Bombyx mori: one gene and its partners. The protein of the gene in region 4 purifies or fractionates together with the protein of the main gene of each other region. This does not show direct contact. Links are inferred from orthologs where the notes say so. Each region holds a gene or a part of one and is shown on either strand. Other genes may lie near its edges.

What was found.
Region 1: the proteins of SOD (region 4) and Tpi purify together in Homo sapiens (affinity purification with mass spectrometry; 3 studies listed by BioGRID, with this or other methods). This does not show direct contact. The link is inferred for Bombyx mori from reciprocal best matches to the Homo sapiens genes SOD1 and TPI1.
Region 2: the proteins of SOD (region 4) and peroxiredoxin fractionate together in Homo sapiens (co-fractionation; 3 studies listed by BioGRID and IntAct, with this or other methods). This does not show direct contact. The link is inferred for Bombyx mori from reciprocal best matches to the Homo sapiens genes SOD1 and PRDX5.
Region 3: the proteins of SOD (region 4) and BmDJ-1beta purify together in Homo sapiens (affinity purification with mass spectrometry; 4 studies listed by BioGRID and IntAct, with this or other methods). This does not show direct contact. The link is inferred for Bombyx mori from reciprocal best matches to the Homo sapiens genes SOD1 and PARK7.
Region 5: the proteins of SOD (region 4) and 10 kDa heat shock protein, mitochondrial purify together in Homo sapiens (affinity purification with mass spectrometry; 3 studies listed by BioGRID, with this or other methods). This does not show direct contact. The link is inferred for Bombyx mori from reciprocal best matches to the Homo sapiens genes SOD1 and HSPE1.

What each region holds. Positions count from the first base shown.
Region 1 is NC_085107.1:8,566,546-8,570,570, forward strand, and holds the start of Tpi (triosephosphate isomerase), read right to left. Parts: upstream 2,806-4,025; 5' UTR 2,747-2,805; intron 2,166-2,746; 5' UTR 2,157-2,165; coding exon 2,046-2,156; intron 1,749-2,045; coding exon 1,637-1,748; intron 1,534-1,636; coding exon 1,424-1,533; intron 211-1,423; coding exon 4-210; intron 1-3. UniProt on the Homo sapiens protein: Triosephosphate isomerase is an extremely efficient metabolic enzyme that catalyzes the interconversion between dihydroxyacetone phosphate (DHAP) and D-glyceraldehyde-3-phosphate (G3P) in glycolysis and gluconeogenesis.
Region 2 is NC_085118.1:970,285-974,381, reverse strand, and holds the start of peroxiredoxin, read right to left. Parts: upstream 2,809-4,097; 5' UTR 2,706-2,808; intron 2,478-2,705; 5' UTR 2,410-2,477; coding exon 2,305-2,409; intron 2,236-2,304; coding exon 1,969-2,235; intron 1-1,968. Other genes in the region: transportin-3, read left to right, coding at 4,010-4,097. UniProt on the Homo sapiens protein: Thiol-specific peroxidase that catalyzes the reduction of hydrogen peroxide and organic hydroperoxides to water and alcohols, respectively.
Region 3 is NC_085129.1:16,172,228-16,176,534, reverse strand, and holds the start of BmDJ-1beta (DJ-1 beta), read right to left. Parts: upstream 2,813-4,307; 5' UTR 2,811-2,812; coding exon of another isoform or gene 2,807-2,810; coding exon 2,720-2,806; intron 1,681-2,719; coding exon 1,561-1,680; intron 1,122-1,560; coding exon 1,007-1,121; intron 636-1,006; coding exon 490-635; intron 1-489. UniProt on the Homo sapiens protein: Multifunctional protein with controversial molecular function which plays an important role in cell protection against oxidative stress and cell death acting as oxidative stress sensor and redox-sensitive chaperone and protease.
Region 4 is NC_085129.1:803,876-808,034, reverse strand, and holds the start of SOD (superoxide dismutase [Cu-Zn]), read left to right. Parts: upstream 1-1,343; 5' UTR 1,344-1,459; coding exon 1,460-1,525; intron 1,526-3,011; coding exon 3,012-3,062; intron 3,063-3,917; coding exon 3,918-4,088; intron 4,089-4,159. Other genes in the region: uncharacterized protein LOC101740193, read right to left, coding at 20-82. UniProt on the Homo sapiens protein: Destroys radicals which are normally produced within the cells and which are toxic to biological systems.
Region 5 is NC_085117.1:15,042,785-15,045,592, forward strand, and holds 10 kDa heat shock protein, mitochondrial, read left to right. Parts: upstream 1-1,441; 5' UTR 1,442-1,830; coding exon 1,831-2,142; 3' UTR 2,143-2,299; downstream 2,300-2,808. UniProt on the Homo sapiens protein: Co-chaperonin implicated in mitochondrial protein import and macromolecular assembly. Together with Hsp60, facilitates the correct folding of imported proteins.

The DNA of each region.
Region 1 (4,025 bases), on a different chromosome or scaffold from region 4:
AACCTGTTGGGGAGTAGCAGTCTTGCCTGTACCAATAGCCCATACAGGTTCATAGGCAAGCACAATATTTTCCCATTTGTCACCAATGGCCGATACTAAAGCTTTTAATTGTCTAAAAACAACTTCCTCAGTCTTGCCAGATTCTCTCTCTTCGAGAGTCTCACCAATACAGGCAATGACTTTCAAGCCAGATTCAAGGGCATGAGCAACCTGGTAAAAAAAATTACAATAAATGGACAGAACTAAATTGAATAATACCTATCCCATCTTTCAAACTCAAACACCTGGTTACTTTAGAGCACATATAGATAAAACACATAACGCATCCTAGTGCACACACGACACTACCGGCACACTATGATGGCCGTTTTGACGTTTGTCCACCCATGAAGTTTCGTATTAATAGTAATTACATTTGTGTTCCGTACCGTACTTATTTACCACACAAATCAGCATTTGTTTTTCGAAATTCAAACCAACCCAGATACGATACGTCATTGAAGAAATAGCATTAGAACAGGGGCACAGAGTTATACGGTTACCGCCTTACCATTGTGAATATTATGCAAATGAGTTGGTGTTGGCACAAATTAAGGGATATGCTACAAGACACGATACAAAACCCCCTTTACCACATCAAAAATGCTAAAAATATTAGAAGTTTGTGAACATGTGACTAAAAGAGACTGGGAAAAGGTTGTGGAAAGAACTGTTAAACTAATAAGGGAAGATTACGAAAGAAATCTGAACATAGATAATATTTTAGAAAACAAACTTATAATTAATGTAGGTGATGATAACAGTGATGACAGTGAAAATAGCAGAATGGACGTATCTGATTAAATATAGCCTTTTGGGGCACTTTTTTTGGTCTCTTTTTGTATTAATTTATTTCTTGTAGTATGTATATTAATTTTTATTCCAATATACAGATCGTTCAAATATATTAAGTAAGCATTTATATTTTTGTTTTATTAAACTTTTTTAATCAGGTACTACCTGCAATAAAAACTTAGACTTCATTACATTTTTTGGAGAATAAATAATAATTGACAATTTACATCACTATTGTAGTATGTCAAAATGGCCCTCATAGCGTGCTGATAGTGTAGCTAGTGCTTAAAGTGGGATTTAAGAAAAAAATTAGAAAATACAACACAATGAAAATACTAATAGAGGTCAACAGATTTATAGTGCATTATTTAAATTTTGTCTTAGCTTTGCACTTTGTTAGCTTGTTAATTAATACATGATTAGTCTGATTATTATAAATATACCATTGCACAAAATACTGCGGTGGAGTACTGTGCTAATCATTTTGAAACCCCATTAGAGAAATCAAAAAGGTTATGCTATAAGCTCTCACAAGCTTCATAAATTTTCATTAAAAAAATACATTTAATGTATCAACAATTCAAACTACCTTTTCAGCAACAAGTTCATCTTTTTCACCAAAAATTGTTCTTCTTTCAGAATGACCAAGTATAACCCAATTTACTCCAACGTCTTTGATCATAGCGGGTGAAATTTCACCTGAAGCAACAGTAAAACATTACTTAGTACTCTGTATATCATAATTGGAACATTGTTTTGATGTTATACAAAAATTCCGATAACTATGATAAACCACATTTACCAGTAAAAGCTCCTTTTGGAGACTTCCAACAGTTCTGGGCTGCAACTTCGACATTATCAGGAATGATAGTCTTCACATAAGACAGGTAAATAGCAGGAACACCAACAATTACCTGACAACAAGTTGATACATTTCTCAAAAAAGTAACATTGTCACTTAACAAAATAATGAAATTTGTTTTTTTTTTTTGTGGAGTGAACACACAATATTTAATTAAATGCATATGACATACAATAAAAGTAGTATGTTTAGGAAGACTACAGCCAACAAAAAATCAGTTTTCCTGTTCAAACTACTTTTAAGAAAAAAGTCTTAAAAGATCATATTTTGAAAAGCATTGCTTAAAATATAATAAATTGAAGCCTAAATCAATTTTAAAATTAACATTATAGTATTGAATTTCATTTACCTCAACATTAGGATCTAGAGGTCCCTTTTTTAGATTATTAACTATTTCGTTGATTTGATTTTTGTCACCATTCATCTTCCAGTTACCTCCAACAACAAATTTGCGACCCATTTCTGTTATCTGTTAAGGCAATATAATATATTATTAATATATAAAGCAAAGTGAATATATTAAGGTTTACCATGTCAATCTATATTAGATAGGGAGTAACAGAATGAAAATATGATTTTTCCTTTATGCAAGTTTTTTTATGAGCTTCTCTACAGGGAGATATTGCAGCCCGAAATGTGAAGCCAATGTCATCAGTCGTCTCTTAAGAAATGATGTTAAAATCTTAACTTTATTAATGTAACGGCTGTACTGCCCAATAATTGGGAAGACAATTGCTTTGGTTCAGAAGCCGGATACCAGTACAGATCCGTGCAAACTGTTAGCAGACCGTAAGTTGACGAAAAATTATGATTTCATAATTTTCCTATGAAGATACTTACCTATTATTATTTAGTTTAGTATAAATAAATAATTATTCGTGAAGTTCTTATATTACTGGATTGTTAGAAGAGGGGTGTTTAAAATTAGCAGAAATAACACAGCCGATAACACGGTATTTATTTCTGAATTTTACTTCTTCTAGATTATTTATACGATAGGACTAAACAATTTGACTTTTTATTAAGTTAAACTAAAAATATTTAACTTACCTTATTTGAGCTTCCAACTTTTCAACAAATATCGTGTATCAACTGCAGTGTACTGTTAAGTTTAAGTTACCACATACGACAAAAATAAATTAAAACGATTCTTTTTGAGCTTTCTTTTATCAGACTCTAAAATATATTTTTGCAATTGGTCACTTTCTTCTTGATCTTAAAATCTGTCCAATCACAAAATTGTTAGATAATAGGCAGAATGTTTATCATGTAATTTAAAATAGAATAAACAACGAGAACAAAATTAAGAATAACGTCAATGATGACCTCTATGACATTGAATATCAAAGATAATTTTATTTGATTCGTCCATTGAAAAGGCAAAGAACTCATTGAATACAAATTAATCTTAGTTATAAAAGACCAAGTCATTTGAACAAATCTGAAATGGAACGAATACATTAAATAAAATGAAATTAAAATAAAGGAACTCAGATGAGATAATAGAGAGTAAGTATACGATTACATGAAACGAAAGTCGAAAAGCCACGTCCAGCTTTCTTATTTAAATTCCCGACTCGAGCACTGACACGTTTACAAGTTTTTTCTCCTTTAATTCAATTATGGTACAATGAAAACTTCTTATTATCAATACCTTACATTAATGCTGTCTTAGTTTCATTTCACACAACTTACTGACACATACAAAATATGTATTAGAAGTGTATTGAGACTAGTCAAAATGATGTATGTATAAGGAAGACTATGATACACCGACAATATATGACATATATACTGACAATGTCCGAAAATAGAAAGTTATATAAAAAAAAGAAACCTGGTTAGTACAAAAAATCCATGAAAGTACATTTCAGTAAATTTTCATAATTTGACCGAGAGCTTAACAATTATATGTCATCTAATTTCCACTTGGAATTATTTTTTCATGTAATTTAATTCCATGTATTTCATTTTGTTTCATTTCATTATAAATTTCAGTTCATATAGACATTTCTGTTATCTAAGATTATTATGATAAGTGGTGCGAGTCTATTCTGTTTAAAAAAAATTAAGCTAATAGACTAAAATCAATGCAAACTTCAAACAAACGTCAAATGATTTAATTAATTAAATTGTACCTACCTACATACCTTACCTACTTACCTACATGTAATAGCTACGTACTTACGTTTATTTCTTTTTCGTTAATTTAATTTAATTTAGTTTTTTTGGTATATTCTTTTCTTAATCAATTGTTTTTCTTTTTGTCGATACGGTTCAAATAAATGACTAAACTGTCAATTTTGACCGTTGGCATTTTTATATTAAG
Region 2 (4,097 bases), on a different chromosome or scaffold from region 4:
CCGTGAAGGACTAAATCCCTTCGAAATACTGATGGGGAAGGACGTGGGAACCACAATTACATCCCAAGAGAGTCATAGACATAAAGAGCTAAGCAGTAGCTAACTACCGCCTCGATGTCAATAGTTATTGTAGAGCCGTTATTACAATGTACCTAATTATACTTTTTCGATAAGATGTGGCTACTCAAGGTTTTTTTTTTGTTTTTTGCCAGGGGTAGAGCCAAGCCGCTGCCTACCGTAGAAGATTAGCTTGTTAAGAAAATCAGCTTGTCGGCTCATCTATAACTAAAAAATGTCTTGTCTGCCGAAAAACTATCATACGCTCCAGATTGAATGGTGAATATAGACTCCGACCTCATTTTAACTAAGACTGGCTTCACTGCCAACTCAATAACTATTTATCTACATAGTTAAACTTTTACGTGCCACCTGCCGTGGGATCGATATAGCAGTTGCACTAGTTCACACACCTACTTTTTATGTTATACTATTTGTAATACCGCAATCGCGATTACTCTGTTGCGGGCAAAAATTCAACACAAAAAAAAATGTGATGATGACACACACTGCTATTGTTTTGTCACATATACACACTGGTCATGGCACGGTCGCCGCTGCCCTGTAGACGACCTCATAACTTCTTATAACGTCTGATAACAGCTCCCACGTTCATAATAAGCTTTTGGACATTTTTTCATTAAATATGGCTCTTGTAATTTTAAAATCACTAATTACAAATAATACATATTATTAATATGTATGTTGTATACTCAGTTTTTATTATATATTCAGATGAGTGAGTAAACTGCCTTGTGTTTTGTGTTTACTGCACTACAAAGATCTACTCAACTGTATTGTATAATAGCAGTCCTACCTAACTATCTTTTTTTTTATTGCTTAGATGGGTGGACGAGCTCACAGCCCACCTGGTGTTAAGTGTTTACTGGAGCCCATAGACATCCACAACGTAAATGCGCCACCCACCTTGAGATATAAGTTCTAAGGTCTCAAGTATAGTTAGTTATATCTACCTATAGAGGGACAGGAATGGTACCTACCCATGTCCGCTTACACCATACCACCACCATTTATGCATTTCAGTAATCCGCACATTCAAAAAACATTGATTCGATGTAATATCAATAGACAAAATACTCTCTTAAAATTTATTGGTAACAAGGTCTTATACTGTTGTGACTGTGAGAAGGTCACAACGGAACGATTACTAACAGAACCTTTTTTATTTATTGTCGTAAATAAGTTAATTCAAGGTATTGTTCTTTATTTACGTTAATCATTTAAATAGTAGGTCATGTCATTAATATTTGATCATTGTATATTTTATCAGAAACAAGTAGGTAGGTTTCAGGTAAATTAGAAGCACAATATTGTAATCATTACCCACGACTTAAAAACTGTTTGGTATTTATTATATTATAGAACTATGAATATAAAATAGGTAATAATTAATTATAAAATAAATTTATAAACCATAAAATAAGTTTTACTTAATGCAAAGATCCCCCCGAAAATCAAAGAAAATACTAAATTAAATTCCACTCAGTAATATGTTAGATATATTTGATTGCGATACTGTGTAGGTAGCAGAAAAACTATTTTCAGGTTGTTTTCACTTTTGATAAAAATAAATTAACAAAATCAAAATAAAAAATTCAGATAAGTAAATGAAAATAATTTGAAGCAATTATTATTCGAGTAAAAACATTTTACTATTAAGCAAGCTTGCATTCAATTTAGAGGGTATAACAAATATTACAATGTAACCGTGAATCCAATGTCAGTCCTCAAGACACGTGGCAGTATTAAAATGGTGGTTACTGGATCTATAGATATATGCTTAAATACATTTCGCATTATAAATATTTTGGTACCTCAATGTTAATATATCTCATTGAAAAATTTAAACAAGAGAATGACGTAAATAATATATTTGTATGAAGGAATTACCTTTCCTTTAGTGTTGTGCTGAGCTCCCCAAGCCGCCATCACATACGGGTCATTAACAGACACGCACACTATTTCAGCAACTCCATCCGATTTCAGTTTATCTGCGTTCTGTACGTATCCCGGCAAGTGTGTTTTAGAACATCCCGGGGTGAAGGCGCCCGGCACCGCAAATAATACAACCTTCTTTCCCGCCGTCAACTCACAAATATTCACCTTATTAGCGGGAGAATCTTCGAATAAATCAGCAGCAGGCAGCTGATCCCCGACCTTGAAGTAAAACACTTGAAAAAAACCTGTTATGTAATTCCAAAAAGTCTTTTTTCTTAAATAATTTACCTTAATTGGTGCCATGCTTAATTGTGAAATGTGAAGTGCTCGCGCTGACGCTCGATTGGTGAATGCGGTAATGCCACGGATAATCGAAGACCCTGTGAGAAACATTAGAAGGTAGAAGTTTTTACTATGGTAGTTACCTTACTTATTATTTATTTTGTTATATCGATCGTAAGTTAACAGATGATAAAAGTTCATGACCTTCACAACTTTGATAACTTTTATGTCAAGCTGTCAAATGTCATTCGGCCGTCATGACGACGCTTTGCATTATGAAACAGAACAAGGGTACATACACTATAAAAATTCAGTGGTTAATATTAATAAATACCTAGATGCTCTAATGTGCTTTCGTTCCTGGCTTAAGCCAAAAGGTAAGGTCTAAAGTTTACTAAGCCCGAAAGAATAGAGTAATGAATATTTTTTTTATAAAGGGTCTCAGTAATGGAGCGCGCATAATTATATAGTACGTATTTCTATTATTTTCTCAATTCGTTTAAAAAAAGCCTTTTACATTATATTTTGTTTTGTCATCTTCCCTGTATTTTTCGAATATCTCCAAATAGGTTGAAGTCTTTCTACGTAAATGTGGAATTGACCTTTTAGTCGCCACAAACTCTTAAAAAACCAACCATTTTTGCTGCCAAATAGTTAGAAAATTAAAACTTTTAACAATGACTCCACGGTGCTGTACCAATACATTTCATCGATACTCTTTGGGCTTAAATGAATCATATATCCACTGTTATTATACCAGCTACTGATTTAAATCTACATCATAGATTATCAGAAATTAATTAATATTTCACAGTAATTATTAATAATAATCACTATAAGTAAATAATAATAACTTCTTTCGGATATATATTATAACTCAATTAAGAAAAAAATTAATAATATTAATAGTGGTTTAATAGCATAACAAAATAACTAAATTGTATGTTTCAAGAACAAACTTGATATGATTCTTTATACTTAACCTCGGTAGACAGCGGCTTGGCTCTGCCCCTGGCATTGCTGAAGTCCATGGGTGACGGTAACCACTCACCATCAGGTGGGCCGTATGCTCGTCTGTCTACAAGGGCAATAAAAAAAACGTTTTTTAATTATTTAAATTTTCTAGGATTTGGTCATTATCAAATCATTTCATTAATCAAGCGGTATTTTACGCGGTAAGACAAACTACTCGTTTGATTTCTACATCTTTCTCTACGTGTCTTTCTGTCGTTATTTATCATATAATGATTGTAAAAAATAAGTTTTTAATCAATCTTCTTAAAATAGGGATACGGTCTACTGCTCAAGTTTTGTCCCCTGAATATGTTTGAACCTGTAAAGTATTGTCAGATGATTACATCCCAAGAATTAAATTACACTAACGTTAAGATCTATTTTTTGTAGGAAGAAAATCTCAATGCTACTTGTTTGGGTTGAGCAGACTTAATAGGTAGGTAAATTAAAATATTACAACTTCGTTTTCCAGTCAACTTGAATCAAGTCAATGCGGTTTCGAGCTCAGCCCTGCTGACTGACTCGAATCTGTCATCTGTCATTTGCAATTTGTGGTTCGTTGTCGTTTCGTTTTGAGTTTCTTTTTGTAATCAAATTTGATTCGAAACAATACTTTCTTAAGTAGATATGAAAAGTAACATTTTATGCACCAGAAAAGTGTGGGGTTGAGATTAGTATAAGAATTTAAATCTCCACGATGGATGCTCCTTCAATGGACACTGTTTACCAGGCGATCAGCGCTCTGTACGATGGCCCAAATGGAAATGAAATTGAGAAGGCTTCGC
Region 3 (4,307 bases), about 15 Mb from region 4:
TCATACTGATCAATCCACGTCATCTGTTGATGACGTTATTATCTATACTTTGCTGCCATCTAATAGGAAAGTCATTTATTTGCGATAGAACTCTGGTGATCTAGATTCTACAAACTGCGAAGTTTTTCTTTACCATGTACAAAATTGTCCAAATCACGAAAAAAATGGTAGTCCGTTGGAGCAAGGTCTGGCGAATACGGAGGATGACAAATGATTCCTAATTGCAGTTCCTGTAGAGTTAAAACGGTTTCTCGTGCTGTATGAGGTCTCGCGTTATCATGGAGCAATAATGGTGAAGATCGATTCATGAATCGAGTCAACTACTAAAAATCGATAATCGAATGTTGCACATTTTTCAAAAGAAGAACCCTATAGGTACCATTTGAAAAAAGTTTCACTCAAAAGTTCTATGTCAATTTGGAGTGCCTATTACAATAGAACGGCAATTTCATACTTTAACCCCTATAGCTTTATAATAAGATCACTGACCCGGCTGGTGACCACGTTGCCGTCCACCACCACCCTCTCCCCCTCCACGTACGTGTAGTCGCCGGCCGACAGCTTGTCCCTGGTGCTGGGGTATGACGTCACGCGCCGGCCCCTCGCCACGCCGTGGGCTGCAAACGCTATGGGAGCTGCCAATGTAACATTTAATTACATATTATGTCTGTGACATTATATATGTTGCGATATTTCCTTAGATAGTTTTTAATATTTTATTTACGTAGTTGCTTATTGAAAGAGAATTCTCTTATGTCTATAAACAAATGTTTCTATTGGCTTATTCAATCAACTGTACTTATTGTTGACTTTACCGGGACAAAATATTAATAAGTCAACATGTAGTTTAGAAATTTAAAATTAGTATATCCATTGGGAACGGGTGAGGAGTGGCGAGGAGGTGTCGGTTGTGATGATGATGATGATGATGACATCCATTGGTAACATTAGTATTCCAAACTCAATTGGAAGCAAACTTAAAAAAAATTTTTAGTAATTCATTTACCAGCACAAATGGCAGCAATGATTTTCCCATTATCCTCGTGGTCTTTAAGCAGAGCACCAACCTTCTCGGATTTGGAGAGACTGTCTGATCCTTCTAAGCCTCCTGGTAGAATCACCTGTTTGGAGAAAATTATTTATTTTTATAGGTGACACCTGCAGTGCTATATAACGCCTGTCAAAGTAACATTCATTGTAGTTGATGATGCCAAGTATTTTCTTCAACTTCAACTGAAACGGTGGTGCAAGACAGGGAATCTAATTTGTGGCTAGGTGATGGTCGTGACTCGTGCCCCGGTTATTATGGGTTGTCACTAGCTAATCTTATTTTGGATCATGCCTATGCTACGTCTAAATGTTTAATAAACCTAATAGAACAGAATCATTAGCCATTAAAATCACAACTGGGGTGCATAATTCTAGGTTCTAAGGTTCTCAGGTTCTAAATTATGTTAACATAGAAATTGGGTGTACTATTGTAATTTTTTTCTAGAAATGATGTAGTTTCTGCAGTTGCAAATGAACTTTGCTGTATAAGATAACGGTAAGGATACTCACAGCATCATACTGTTGTTTCTCAGCGAGGGCTTCAGTCAGTGACTTATCAGGTACTAGAGTCACTTGCCTTGAGCACAGCACAGGAGATGAACCTTCCAAGCCAGCTAGAGTAACTGTTACCTATGGGGAAATAAGGTCTTTTCAATAAGAAAAAAGCTTAATAATAAATTACTCATTGGTTAGAATACCACTATGATATTCCTTCTCATGGGTATAGAATGTAACCTTTGTTTTGTTTACTATGGAATCTGCAATGAGCATGAGCTGTGTGCAGGTGTGCTGTGAGACCTGGGAGTTCGTCCTCCAATAAAGGCAGCTTCTCTTTTGTAAATCATTTAGATACAATGTCCTTTTGTTTTAGCAATATAGTATCTTTTATTGTTCATAGCCAATTCATTTTCACTTCCTTTCCTGATACAATTTCTTTGAAATTCTATGGATTTCGTCCTTTAAGATAATGATAAAAAGGTAAAAATATTCTTTATGAGTATGGATGCTCTCCGAGTATTATAATATTTTAAAGATTCATGATTTCAATCCTACCCTTAGTGTTCAAACCAATACCATAGTATAACTCTTATACACATAACATCATTATGATAACATAATATGAAAAAACTATTTCAATGATGTTGCAGTTGGGAGTGGACAACAATTACGCAACTGATGCACATTCGAGTAGAACAGCAATTGATCAGTATATAGTAAGTAGTAACTTTTTATTGTTTAATTAAGATTTACAATTAAGCAGTGATCTAGTATTCAACTATTTGATAATTTATGGTCGATTTTCATTATGCAATTTTAGAATACACTAAATTTTCTATAGTAATAGGAGACTAGGGCTATAAGTTTTATATTATATTGCTAATACTATCAATCAGTGATCAGCTGAGGTGTTGGTCTATTTGTCATTTAGATTTTAGACTTTGTCATTGACAGCTGTGGTAGCATCATGATTACCCGGCGACCATTGTAACTGAATAGTTGATAAAAGGGTGTTAGTTTTTATTGACGAGCGAGAGTCAGCTATCTGGAATCACATTATCAGATCGTCAAGACCACATGACGGGCGAAATATGTCGATTAGCAAAAGTCTAATTACAATCCAACTAAGGAAATTCAGTCAACGGATTTAATGAATTAATTGACTACAAACCCCTCCTCGTCTCAGCATATCAACAGTTATAACTGTCTCCATCTCCTCTGCACCCTGCGCCAAAATCACTAACGCAGACTTGCTCATTGTTCTAAAATGAAAATAAACTAATATAAAACAGAAAAGCATGTAGTGTGCAAACAACAAATTACATAGTTTTTATTTCTGTATTATGTAATCAGTAGGTATTACGATAAAAGTATAATTAAAGTTTTCTTAAAGGTAATTAAATGCCGGTTCAATTTGTTGTATCCTCTATTTTGGTAGGTATTTTCACTTGATTCACGGCTAGATTATAATGTGAATGTAGTTAACGCCACTTATGCAATTAAATTCCGCTAAAACAGTTCGGTACCTTGATTTAAAAGCTCTATAATTTGCAAGAGTTTTTAAAAATAAATTAGAACGAGTAGACAATGACAACAGCAACATGAGAACCATAGATAATACACTTGATATTTATTAAATAAACATATTTGTACATAACTACTAAATTAAATATTAATTATGAACGAGTTGACAATTTCTGATTAAATTTAAGTACGGTACCTACTAGTATACATAGATAATAGACTGTGTATAAGAGAGTAAATTACCTACTTTGCCTTTGAAATTGTGTAGGTATTGTCAATTAATTGTCGTTACTATTATCATCTAAGGCCTAAGGTTATTTGTGTATGGTGTAAACAAATTATCTATGCTCGAAACATTGTAAAAAATTACCTATATCGTCAAGTGTATAACAGTCTACACTATGAAGGGTTCCGTAACGAAATGAACTTAGCTTGATAAAACACCCACAAATATTTTAGCATCCATCAATTAGCATCCATCAACATATTGTGGTCTCTTAGACCTACATATTGTCAAATCATTTTCCATTGCAAATTTTATTTAGGTTCATAAATTGTTTTTATGATTTATTTATGTCCTTAATAGGAGCACTAGAATTTGGAGGTACCTACACTTTTTTAACCTTACAAGCGCACAAAACAGCGGTAGCCGTCACAGAATATAAATTTGACACGATGTCTGAAACCGAAAAACGACATGATGCATCAACAACGTTGCGAGTCTTAGAAAAAACTATCACGACAACCTAAACAATATATTATTATATCTATATTATATTATATATACCTGTAGGGACACAGTTTGTTATGTAAACAAAATTGTTCGTAGTCATAACATGCGGCTGCACTCGCAAGCTCCGTTGTTTTTTACTTTTTAAGTTACCGTCGTCTATGTACATTAGCATTCCCAGGGGCAGAGCTAAAACGCTGCCTACCGCTAAGTACTGTATAAAAGCCTCGTTTTATGGATATGTGCTTTCGGGAAGCACCATAGGTAAGTGGCAAAAAATATCTATGGAAATGCACTGTGGATGAACGCATTGATTCTAGGTGGTGTTATAAAATAGAGAACAAAACTACCTGCTCACTAATTTTCACACATCGCAACTGTTCAGATACCGTGTTTTTTGTTAACTTCAAAACACAAAATTTAAACTATTTCAAACAAAAACTATACATACATAATCACTAATTATGTACCCTTTCCTGGCTGAGCCTTTGCTCGCTCACCTGTC
Region 4 (4,159 bases):
ACTATATTTTATTACTTACATTAGGATTATTAGGAAAAGATACAGAATCACAATCTACATCTAGTGAAGATTCAGAATCCATCACTAGAAAAGGGCTGAAAATAAATGGTTAAAATCAATCCTTCATGTGGCTTTTAATGGCTGATGCTGTCCTATTTTTATTTCGCCCTGTTAATTATTGTTAGGTGATATTTTAGGTCTAATGCAAACCAATCCAAGGATTTACATTGTTGTTAGAAGCAGAAGCTATAAATAGGTGGTGAAAATTTCTTGGCAAATTCGAGCAAAGGCAAATTCATAGACTAAACACTATTTCGGCAAATTAGTAGTAGTTTAATTTTTCCAGCTAGAGAGGCAAAGGAATCATACCATACAGCGTAATCTTTTTATTCTGTGCGTGTGTTTGTCACTGAACTCCTAAACGGCTGGACCAATTTTGATGTAATTTTCTGTATACCTTCAGATGGATTCGAGAATGGTTTAGATTTACCAATCATATGGCGCCCGGCAGAGGGCGCTGCAGTCGGTATATCTAGGTTATATAAATTTCCTAGAAATAATTTATATGACAAAACAACGTTTGCCGGGCCAGCTAGTCTTTTATATATTATATTTTTATATGAAAAATGATATTATAAAATGAAATAAAGTTGGTTAGAAACATGGCATAAAATGAAATGATAATAATATGTGTCTATTAAGTGTTTCTTCAGGTTTAAATGCGTAAATAACGGTGGTTTATTAACTGTTTAGTATCTATGAAAGTGCATAAATGTGGGAAAATAAAACCAAACCGCTGGACGTAACTTCTTGGGATCCTTTTTTACTGATGGTAGGACCTTTTGTGAGTCCGCACAGGTAGGTACCACCACCCTGCCTATTTCTGCCGTGTAGCAGTTATGCGTTTCGGTTTGAAGGGTGGGGCAGCCGTTGTAACTATACTTGAGACCTTAGAACTTATATCTCAAGGTGGGTGGCGCATTTACGTTGTATATGTCTATAGGCTTCAGTAACCACTTAACCAGGTGGGCTATGAGCCCCATCTAAGTCCACTCATCGAAGAAATAAAATAAAATAAACTTCCAAAAAGTCCACTGAAAAAGTCTCAGTAAATGACCACCATTTTACTGAAATTATGTTTCATCCTATATCATCTCTTTTCATTTTATTTGTCTCAAATTAATCATCTTCATTTCATTTCACTCCACATTATCATTTTTCATAAAAATAAGAATAAAAATTAAAATAAGACTACCTACAGGTCTTAGTTACCAGGTCATAAAATCCCCTAAAAAAAAATCTGTATAGTCATTTGTCAATCAATTTTGTCATTGTCACAGTTTAATTGGACTCTGAAGTAGTGTGAAAGTGTTAGCGGTTTTTCTTGTAAAACTGATTTATAATATTAAATATTTTTTAATCTTGCTATACTCTAAATATAACATAATACAATATCACAATGCCCGCCAAAGCAGTTTGCGTACTTCGTGGTGATGTTAGCGGAACTGTTTTCTTCGATCAGCAGGTATTACCAACGACTCCAATATTAAGTTACTAAATAAATTGTATTACGTATGTACTTAGGGTTATTTAACCATATAAAATAAATTCGTAAGTATGTACTTTAACATTAATAATACACACTTTTATTAATGAACCAATATTAAATATATTAATGAGAAATTTGTGTCTGTTATAATACCGGCCGACATTTTTATGTACCTACCTACCTGGTTGAAGATGGTTCTAGAAGTCAATTGTTTTTTTGCGTTTTTACTGACTGGTTTTTTATTTTGCTTTATAATATCGTACAGTACAGTTTTTTTATTTTATTAGGAATGGTAATGTCCTCATAAATGCAGTCCAGTATTAAGCAGTTACTGCAGCCTATGCACTCCAGTACTTATAGTGTGTTGGACGGTTGAATTTGAGTGGACTGGGTTCTGGGGTGAGAGGCTATTTAAAAACATTGCTTCATGGTTAATATAATTATATTGCATATACTTTGTAAACTATTACACCATTATAATATTTTATTTTTACAAAACTCTAATATGTTGCTCTGTCCGTGTCTAGATGATAAGTCATTGTCTACACTGACGAGAAGACAATCATCTGTTTTAAATATTTAAATAAGCATTCCAATATTTGAAACTGTAACCTTACATGTGTTAAGTGTTGCCTACCATTACTTTTATATTCAAACTCCATCATAGTGGCACCAATATTTATAAACAAATAAAATATTTATTCAAGCATTTCCTCATTTATTAAAATTAAAGAAAGTGCTATGTTGGAATTACAAATACACTAAGTAAAATTTAATATTAATATAATCATTCTGTACAGTTAGTTGTCAGTGTAGAACATTTTTCTTGATTAATGATTCAAAATAATTTAGTTTAAGAAGTGAGTTTTCAATCTTTACATAAAGTTACCCATAAATTACGATTTGTTTTAAATTTTCCTTATACTCTGGATGCTTAGTAACCTTGTCATATATGTTGATTGAAAAACTTATCTTGCATGAAAAAATACTTAAAATGATTTCATGGTAATAATACATTATTAGATTAGAAAAATGTAACACTAAATTCAATCATACTTGAAAAAATGAAAAACATTTTCTAAAGCCAATCATCTTTGTGTGACATTTGAAAAGACCAGACTGTTCTCATGACTTTGTATTTAAATATTCTACATAAGTATTAATCCTGACAATGAAATGAGGATATTTTTTGGATTATCCTCTTATTCTTTTTCAGTATTTTTAGTTGACGATTGTTAAGGATGTATAAAAGGTGTTGTTTTTGTAATATATGTATAAGGAAAATTTACCTTACAAACTTAATATAAAATAAACAAAAAACATTTCAAACTGAAAAGTTGATATATATATAATAAGTAATAAGAAATAAGTTATTGATCAATAATTAATTTTTTTTCTGATAATTACAGTCAGACTGATGAGAGAAAAAAACAACGTTTTAAATAATGCCTTTCAATTACAGGATGAAAAGTCACCTGTTGTTGTTTCTGGAGAGGTCCAGGGCTTGACTAAGGTTTGTATGTGATGTTACTACGAAACTTATTACTTAGTACAAATAGGCTTTGACAGGCTATCAAATTAGGACAACTGACTGGGGACTGTATGACTGCTAAAACAAAAACAAAATTTATTCTCATTTCCTGAATTCCACTCATTCAATGTGACACCATAACGGAAGTGCTGCTTGCTCTCTTTGAGCCCTGTAGTGTATATAATTGCTATCCAGACGTCAAAATTGAAATTTATCTTGAGCCAAAAATAATCAATTATCAATTTGGCTCATAACTGTTCAATCATATACAAAAGCAAGAATTCGGCAGGAAGCAGGAAGTCATAATTAAAAAGTGTCAAGAAAATGGAGTCGGCCTGTCTCTTTAATACTTGTTTTGTATTTTTTTATCTGTAGTGTCTATTTTTTTTTCAAAGTACAAAAAAATATAATTATAGTTATCACTTGTAAAATCCCAATGTAAATAGGTAATGTTAACAAATAAGAATAATTAAACTGTTTATAGTCAAATGACCTTGCAATGATAGTGATTGTGTATAATGTACATACAATTACTGAATATGATAATATGGAAGCTTGTATCGAACTAGCAAGTCATTATTCTTTAAACATTGATAGTAAAAAAATAATGTTGTAATAATAACTGATAAAGAAATTGGTTTTAATTATTGAGAATAGTGTAGTCAATATTCAGAACTTTCAGGTGGTTTTAACACGTAATGTAAAAAAATATATTACATATTGACTTGTTTAACAGTTAACATGAAGAAATACAACAATGCAAAATAAGCTTCATGTATTCATTCTGAAAATCTGGGCATCATCTACTATGGTAATGAATAAACTTTACTGTTAAAGGGTAAACACGGTTTCCATGTGCACGAATTTGGTGACAACACAAACGGTTGCACATCAGCTGGAGCTCATTTCAACCCTGAAAAACAAGATCATGGTGGTCCCAGTTCTGCTGTACGCCATGTCGGCGACCTCGGTAACATTGAGGCAATTGAAGACTCTGGAGTCACTAAAGTAAGTACCATCATTTTGATGACCTCAACAACTTGATATGTTAAATAGCAACATCATTCTCAAATTTGTCA
Region 5 (2,808 bases), on a different chromosome or scaffold from region 4:
TACAAGCGCTTTTTAGTGATCTCAATCAGTGTATTATCTAGTGTCTAAGCGGTCTACGGTTTTACAAACACAGATAATACATACCATGACATGGGGTAAATTGGGATTCTGGGGTAAATTGGGACAAACCTGCGGAAGATTCTCAAAGTACTTGTAGCACGGAATCTACCTAATTTTCTTTAAGGTAATATTTATCAATGTATAGAAGAAAAACCAAGTTAACTATGGAAGTACTAAACATGAGTTAAGTTGGACCCAAAAATTCGTCAAATTAAATTTAAAATAGTGGTTGAAAAGTGCGTTTTAAAACAGCCTAGAGAACTTTTAAAAAAAGTAATATTATCGTTGTTTTTTCAATAAGATCACAGTATAAATAAGTTTTTAATACACCTGGAAATACCACAACAAACGGTAAGTTGCAATATTCTTATTTTAAATACAATATTTCGACAAAATAAAAAATGTATATTTTTTCCTTTCTTTTTGGGGAAAATTGGGACGTATGTAGGGTAATTTGGAACGAGACTGGAAAAATTATGGACGAGAAAACACAAAATTGGAACGCCAAAAGACAAAATAGGGATGGCTTGTTAGGGTTGTCACTGATATCTTATAATAGATTTTTTAGCCTATACTATCACTTAATTGCGTGATGTAAAGAAGGTTAATGTGTTTATCAGTTAGTTTATGTAAGTATTATAGGTAAAAGAAAAGTATATATATAATTACTTTTTTTTCGCGACATTTACCTTGTAATATCTGCCCGGTCGTATGTTCTTTATAGCAATAAAAAAAATTAAAAGTTAAAAGAACTCCAACGAATCAAAACTTTTGTTATTTCAGAATGTATTCACGCGTCGAATCATGATTTTGTTAACATTCACAACGAACACACACAAATAAAAACAGGCCTCAGATTTTAAATGTAACATTAATAAAAAATCCGAGATATCCAATTATGAGTGAGTGAATTAATTGAGTTTAGTTATTTCGCTTAGAAATAATTTCTTTTATTTTTGTTATTATTGGCAGTAATCAGATAAAGCTGTTTTTTTATCTTATTCACCTGATATCTTACTCTTGCTCAAAGATTATTTTGAAAATGTTGATTAAATAAAATTGTATTATTGCATTTCCAGTCCTTTTGGATTTATTCTATTTTATGATTTTGTTTCAGGGTTGTGATTTTTAAGGAAATTAAATAATAATTTTCTAAAATATAACATGCACATACTTTTTTTGATCATTGTATTGTTGATTATCATTCACGTCACATCGCTTCGGAATAGAAACCAGCTTAATTTACACTATGTTGTGTATTGTGCTTAAATTATGGATTGTATTCATCATTTCGGTCCATATAAATAATTATATGGCACCTATATATCGCAGTACTGCGAGTTGACAACCCTTACAAATATTCCAATTTAACCCTTAACCGTGTCAATTTACCCCGGACGCTGGGTAAATTGGGACGGCCATTATTTTACCGATTATTTCTTTAAAATGAATAATTAAAATAATGTAACGGTTTTTATCACCTAGGTACGTTCAAGACTCAACTTATTTCTTTGGTTGGGCAGTGACTATTTAATTGGAACTGTTTTAAAATTCAATCTGAAGGTCGATTTTGTCCCTATTTACCCCATTGTACGGTAATATCTAAAAGTGGATATATTCTGTGATCGCAGTTTCTGGTTTGACAATCATTGAGATAACCCGGCAACCGATAGGACTGTTTGACTCGAATATTCTAGATTCCGCAAATTTTGAACAGCGTTCATCGTGCTCATATTCTTCGCTTTTGAATTCTGTTAATTAAAAATCGAAATGGCCAATGCAGTAAAACGATTGGTTCCTCTTCTGGACCGTGTCCTGATCAAAAGAGCTGAAGCTATAACCAAAACTGCCGGAGGCATTGTCATCCCAGAGAAGGCTCAATCCAAGGTTTTACACGGAGAAGTAGTAGCGGTCGGTCCTGGAGCCCGAAAAGAAAATGGAGACTTCATCCCCGTTCAAGTTAGTGTGGGTGATAAAGTTCTTCTTCCAGAATACGGCGGTACTAAAGTAAGCCTTGAAAATGATGAGAAAGAATATCATCTCTTCAGAGAGTCTGACATACTGGCGAAAATTGAAAACTGAATGATGGTAGCTTTAACATGTGATTCTAATTCTGTTAGTTTAGTTGTAGCGTGCGCAAATGAAACGTTGATATGGTCGTGTATTTTTTGTGAGGTATTGATCTTATCTCAGTTGCAATACTTGCATTTCTTATTATAATAATAATTATTGTTATAAATCTGTCGTTTTATTCAAAATTTCTCCACTGTTATATTAAAATGTTACATCATCATGTAAACTAACCTAACCTCAAAAGGAGCATGCATTTTATAAACGAGTTGGTACGTTGAGGAACAATTCTTGTGTCCCAACATACTATAATTGTAATACGGCAAAACTATTGAAGTCAGCCTCAATATGATTATCATTAATTTGAGAGCAAAAATGCTATAGGATTATTTCAATTCCCATTGAAATAGAGCTACTAACAATTAAAATTAATTGAGATAACACTTAATATAGTATTTAGTAATAGCACACTGATATTATTTTTAATCTTTGCTATTGTGGAAGACCATATGAGCACAGACTGCCATTAAGTGAGCAGTTATAGTTGCTCATGCTCTTGTCAGCAGTGACAATGCTATATATTTTGATTTATGCAATGGGCTCCCTACAATTTTTTTCTCAGCACTATAACATGTCCTTTAAATAAGGTTCAGACTCCAGAGCAGGTGCAAAAGGATT